Regions from separate parts of the Mus musculus genome. Here region 2 is reported to be linked to region 1. Evidence: microRNA targets listed by miRTarBase, many of them from high-throughput screens and not tested one by one. Region 1 holds a microRNA gene; the other region holds the end of a gene's coding sequence.

Region 1 (3,251 bases):
GCAGGCTCTCTCGTGTGTGCGGCTTCGGGCAATCCTCCTGGAGGACTGTGAACCCTCCTGTCAGTGCTCAGCATTCCTGGCATGTCAGCTGCCCTGACTCAGCCCACGCCTGGCTCCCCAGGGCTGTGGAGCTAACGGAGTGTGTGGTTGAGTGGGCACAGGACATGGTCCACCCACCAGGCCCCATTACAAAGGGGCCCTCTGGAAAGGCAGCCCTCGGTGCAGAGTCTACTTAGGGAGAGAGCAATTCCTGCGGGAAGGGGCTTGCTGAAGAATGTGGCTGCACACACACACACACCAACATTAGGAGAAAGGGAGGGGGACGGGTGTGGTGACATGAGCCTGCCACCCCAGTACTTGGAAGGCTGAGACAGGAGGATTGCTTCAAGTGTGAGGCCAGCCTGGTCTGCATGACAAGCTGCAGGCTAACCCCGGGCCACACAGTGAGACCCCGTCTCTAGAAACCAGAGAGCCATCGGGATGGTTCAGTGGGTAAAGATGCTTGTCACACAAGCCTAACCAGCCTGCAGACCTGGTATGAAACCCACATAAAGGTGAAAGGAGAAAACGTACTTCATATAGCTGACCTCTGACCTCCACACGTGAGCCATGGCACTTGGAGCACCTCCCCAATGCACACATAAGAAGAAATAAAATAACTGGAAAAAGCCGGGCGTGGTGGCGCACGCCTTTAATCCCAGCACTCGGGAGGCAGAGGCAGGCAGATTTCTGAGTTCGAGGCCAGCCTGGTATACAAAGTGAGCTCCAGGACAGCCAGGGCTATACAGAGAAACCCTGTCTCGAAAAAAAAAAAAAAAAAAAAAAAACCCAAAAAATAACTGGAAAAAAAAACCCAGAAAGAGAAAGAAGAGAGGGGTATCTATCTTCAGTCTAAGGTTCGACCTCAAATGGTAGAGGTTACCCCCTCAAAGCCATCAGCATCCTGGGCCGGGCTTTGACTGAAAAGGGAAACTTGTACCAATTTTTGTTGCTGGTGGTGGTGGTTGTTTTTGTGTTTTTGAGGTTTTCACATTGTATCTCAGGATGGCCCCAAACTCATTATGTAGTCAGGCTACTAAACCAGTTGCCCTCTTGAATTCTGGACGTAAGCCATCAACTCATCCAGGTTTTCTGAGATGCACTTGAAACCCGCTTCATGAGAGGAGGCACTGTGGGTTCAACAGCAAGGCAGCTCTGAGCCCTGGGCCCATTCCCTGGGGCACCAGCCGGAGACTTCTGCACTCCACCCCTGCTATGTCCTGTGTCCTCGGCTACCTTTCTGTTTGAACCCGTGTGTCTGTCTGTCTGTAAGAAGCAGATCACAGCAGACCCTTGATGTATACCCTGGATCTCCAACAGCCCAAACGCAGAAAGCCTTCACTCAACAGCAGCGGTCTGCCTGGGCTTACCCAGACTACAGAGCTCAGCCCCTCTCTGAGGCCACGTGCGCTTCAGGCAGAGTTGCATGGAGCAGGTGGAAGGGGGCAGCTGGACATTCAGGTGAGGGTCTTGTGACCGTCCCCAGCCCTCCACAAGAAGTGTAAACAGCCAGCAAGCCCAGCAGGAAGAGTCCTTTTGCAAGAGGGCACAGCGGAATGCCCCAAGATGGTGGCTGTTTGGCTAGGAGGATCAACACACATCATACAGTCTCCTTCCATGCTGTAATTAGTACCCCGACATGCAAACTTCTCTTAGCCAGAAGTGCTCACACTCCAGACCCAGTGCCTCCCCCTGACACTCAGCCCCCGTAAACATGCTCCCCGTGGGGTGCTAACACCAGCCTCCCCAGCATCCCATACCCACCAGTATGGTCGAGCAGCTCCGCAAGTCCAGCGCCTCTCAGGGGTGTGGGCGTTGCTGACCTCTGACCTTTTCCTTCTCGGCCCAACAATGTGCAGCACTTCTAGGGCAGTATACTTGCTGATTGCTTCCTTAGCTAATACTCACAACAACCAGCTAAGACACTGCCAAAGAATTACTCACAGCTGGCCAGCCCAGGCTGAGGCGCCCGCAGTCACAGGAAGATGGAGAGGCTGCGGGAGAAAGATGTGTAGTGGACCCTACCGAGGTATGACACACTCCTCCAGCACTTGGAAGCCAGCACGCTAGCACAGGAGGGAAGCAGCAGGGTACAGCAGTGCCTCCCCATCCAGCACCCACGAAGGGCGCACTAGTCGGGATTCAGCTGGAGGGACAGCGCCACCAGGAGGGCTTCAGGAATGCCTTCCGGCTTCCACAAGGAGGCTGAGTCAGGAGGTTCCTTTGAGTTTAGGAGTTCAAGACCAGTCTGGGCAATATGGTGAGACTGAAGTAAAAACTGGAAGCTGAAGAGATGGCTCAGCGGTTAAGAGCACTGTCTGCTCTTGCAGAGGACCCAGGTTCTATTCTGAGCACCTGCAAGGTGACTCACAACCACCTGTAACTCCAGTTACAGGGACTCTGACACCCTCATCTGGCCTCCGGGGGTACCAGGCACACACACAGTGTATACACATCAGGCAAAACACGTATACACATTCAAACAAGCAAATCTTTACAAATAAAACTAAGCCAGTGAGATAGGACAGCGGGCAAAGGCAAAGGCACTTGCTACCAAGCAAGGGGACCTGAGTTAGATCCCAGAACACACACACACACACACACACACACACACACACACACACACACACGCTATGACATGCACCCCACCCCCAGTAATCCAACAAAGAGATGTGAAACAACAGCGACCTTCCCTCAACCAAACCCCGTTAACCAGTGAGACTGGTCAGGCCTGCAGAGCTGAGACTGGGCTCAGCAGGAAGTATAGTCCCTCAACAGGATGGCTGAAGCCCACCTACTGTCTGAGAGTAGAGGGTACTCTTCACTTCAGGGCAGTGACTCCGGAAGCTGGAGTCCTTCACACCAACACCTAGGCCAGTGTTTGGGTGGATGCCTGTGGACCCCAGGCCTCCAGTTACACAGAAAACTGACCACTATTCCCTGCTGGCTGCCTTAATATGCAGAGACTGGGCTGGGGCCGTTCACTTGTTCAGTCGATGGAGCCCTTGCTTGACAGGTGCCGGACGTTGGGCTTCATCCCCAGCACCGTAAACAAAAAGGATCCAGATTAGTGCATCTCTCAGAGAAGCTGACTTTTGAGGTAGCCGGCGGTTAACGGAGACCCACAAGTCGTCTGTGTACAAGACTGTGGGTTGTCCAACTCTAAATATGACATCTATCATACTCCTCCGGGGCTCCGCGGTCACCTAGGA
Region 2 (3,251 bases), not on the chromosome of region 1:
GACCCTGTGCAACTCTGGGTGAGCTGCAGAGGTGTTTTCACCTGCAGGTCCCCTCAGAGTAGAGCCCAGAGACAATGTGCTGAGGTGGGTGCTCATCTGAGAAACTGGCCCTTGAAGACAGGCACGAACTAAAGGAGAGGTCTTGCTGGATAGTTAACAAGAAGCTGGCATCTGAGTTCAGCCTGACCTTTGACCTTTGGAGCTCCTGAAGTAGCAGGACCTTATTTTTATGCTCATAGTAAAAACAAGTGGAAAATGTGTAACAGTGAGATTGTAGGCAGGGATGACCAAGAAATTCCAGCATGCTAAGGCATGCTAAGTCATCCGGCATGGGTCTTGTCAAGCTTAAGAGGGCTCACTGAAAGCCCAGACTACAGCCACCAAGTCCCGTCTCCCGCTCCTGTACATGGAAAAGTCCACAAGCATGGGTGAAGGATGGGGCGCTACCCACCCAGGACGTGACGCTACCAACACACAGCTACACATCAGACTCCCAGATCTCCAGAGCCTGTCACAGAGGTTCTTCAGTAAAATGTCACCTGGCCAGGGCTGCTCCTTTTAGCCTCAATGGGGCCACATGACCTTGGGTCAGCACACTGCAAACCAGTCTGGAGAAATACCAAGGCAGCGGCAAACCAGAAGGATGGGGCTCTGGGGCTGGGGACACTCGTCAGGGAAGGTGAGGCTGAGAGTCTGCCTTTAATAAAGTGGAAACAAGCTAAGTTTATTAGTGCTAAGTTTAGCACTAATAAAATTGAAGGCTATTATATATTTAAATCTCCCTTAATAGATTTCCATATAACTTTGATAAACACAACACCAACACACACACACACACACACACACACACACACACACAGCATGCTGTTTAACCAGGAACATCCAACTGAAACAGACAAAAGCTGATAGGACATTTTCGCAGGTTTGGTGAACAGGGAAGTGGTCTCTACTTACAATGACAAATTCAACATTCTCATGTCAGAAACCACAACCACAGTCTTCCTCACTGGAGATAAACCTCAGAATGTACCTACATCTCTAAAGTCAATCGCCATGACCCAACAGGTCCGGGAGTAACCGGCTGGCAAGGTCATGCTACTCAGCTTTCACTATGGTCTTCTCCTGGCTCCAAGCTACTAAGGACTACAGCGAGGTCTGGGCGTCCACCAGGAGCCCTCTTGGGCCTGGGAACATTGAGATGCTTAGCCCAGGGATGCTCTGACACTCCCCTGGACAGCTACCAGGAGGGCTTCAGTGAGCTCAGGCGCTCGCTTGCTCTAGCAGACCCTTATGATGCCTGCACCAGGGAGGAGGGCTAACAAGGCTGGGTGGGGCTTAGGGCTCTGGGTTCCTTTTCTCTTTTGTGCAGCTTGAAGGAGGAGGTAAGCAGCTTGCTGAGATTGAAATTAAAAACAGAAGAAAATGGGAGCTGAGGGTGCAGAGCCTTTCAACCCCGGGTATGTGAAGCCACACTGAGACAAACCAGCTGGCATAAACAGCCAGCCTCCCCTCCCCAAGGCAGGAGAAGAGTTCAGGCTGGCTCAGTCCACAGTGCCTTTTAAAAAACCATTTACAGAAAATAGGAATCAAGCCACTTAAGACGTGTAGTCTCTGGGACAAACTGTGTGACCTGGGCAAAGTATTTAACCTCTGTGGTTCCCGGCTTGCTCATCTGTCAGTCAGTACACTCACTCAACTGCCCTTGGTACGTCCGACCTGGTGAAGTTTTACAAAACTCTTTCACACTCTTCTGTGCATCTGACTCTTACAGTAGCTCTATGGACTGGTAGGACCACTAATCCCACTGTATAAACAGAGAGAGAGAAAGAGAGACAGACAGACAGACAGACACTCAGGAGCTGACTGGACCTTCAGGGCCTCACTATGTAGCCTCGCCACCTGCAAGTGCTGGGACTATAGGTGTGTCCCAACTGCCCAAGTCCATTGCTTTTGACATCACAGCACCAGCTGGTTCTAAACTCTTCCCACAATCTCTCGTGTCCTTTCTGCAAAGGGTCTCTGCTATCAACGAGGTAGTGATCTAAGAACATGCCATTAACACTTTCCTAGCGCAAAACACTACTTTCCTAGGGGGTGAAGAACCATCACACAAGAGATTAAACCAGCGCTAGATGTGAGCCTTTTTAAGAAACTCCTCGGGCTGGTGTGTTTCCCTGTGACCTTTGACCTTCCTCCCCTTTCCTTCTCTTATCCACCCACACACAGAGGGTAGGAGAACCTGCCTCATAGTGACAACAGAGGACATAAAGAGTGAGCTTTTTGAATATTTGGGTGTTCTTTTTATTACTGACAGCTGTGAGCCCTGTCTTGTTTACAGGTAAAACTCTGATGAACCGGCTGGGAGTCCTGACTGCTGCATGCGCTGTCAGGATAGGAGTCACCCCCCCCATTCCCCCGCCCCCCCCCCGCCCCGCCCACCGGCGATGCTTTCCCATTGCATTGTGGCGCACTAACCTGCTTTGCCCATTTCCCCTTTCCTCAGTGATCCTTCAGCCTGGTACCCAGCTTTGAGATGAGGCCTGCTTAGCACCAGTGAAGTTCCCCACATTCAAACCAACAACGTTCTGTGTGGAGATGAGGGAGTCAAAGTTAAAATCCAACCCGTCAGCATCCATGAGTTCACTACGGATGATGGACTCCATGTCACATTCCAAGCTCCCATTGAACATGTCCAGGTCCAAGTCACTGGGGAACTTATCGTGGCCCATGACGGGAAGGTTTGCACTAGCTGAATACAGTGAGGAGCCTGAGAGAGAGTCCGAGAGGGTTTGCATAGACTGGCTGGCGGGAGACTGCTGCTGGTGTTTGGCTGAGCCAAGGCTGCTGGAGTCACTCAAGCCCATGTTGCTGACAGAATTTGACAAGGCACGGCTGCCACCAAGAGCGCCCTGGGTTTGGTGCTGGTGGTGGAGCAAGTTCTGATTGACCAAACTCCCCTGGGTAGGCTGGGCAGCAAAGGACATCATTGGATCGTTGCGAAGCATCACGTTCCGGCGGGCATTCTGGGCGGACACGGCGGTGCTAGCCTGAGACATCAAGGGGTCCGACTGGGTCATCATGACGTCGCTGTGGCTGAGTGAGTCTGAAGCAAGCAGGTCTTGGAGTGTCTGGTTGCCGTAGTGTGACACGGAAGAGAAGGTGGCTGGTCTGTTCTCCTGGATAGTCTGCATGGGTGACTGACGCAAGGAGTTCAGAGACGAAGGTCCAAACACGGTACTGTTGAAGGAGCC

Evidence for each region. The annotated mature microRNA mmu-miR-34a-3p reads AAUCAGCAAGUAUACUGCCCU and lies in region 1 at 1,906-1,926, opposite strand. An mRNA with a match to its seed (bases 2 to 7 or 8) in the 3' UTR can be bound and repressed. Matches are read on the target gene's strand: a 7mer-m8 pairs with bases 2 to 8, a 7mer-A1 pairs with bases 2 to 7 and ends in A, and an 8mer does both.
Region 2: the mRNA of Foxo3 is a reported target of mmu-miR-34a-3p. The part of its 3' UTR that is shown has no 7-base or 8-base seed match.

What each region holds. Positions count from the first base shown.
Region 1 is chr4:150,067,192-150,070,442 of GRCm38, reverse strand. Mir34a (microRNA 34a) reads right to left here and starts at 1,989; the gene lies at 1,888-1,989.
Region 2 is chr10:42,193,991-42,197,241 of GRCm38, forward strand. It overlaps Foxo3 (forkhead box O3), which reads right to left. Exons shown (of 4, transcript NM_001376967.1): 3 at 2,476-3,251. The coding sequence ends at 2,511. Among named protein-coding and RNA genes, the nearest start is that of Gm38485, 79 kb to the right of the region's middle.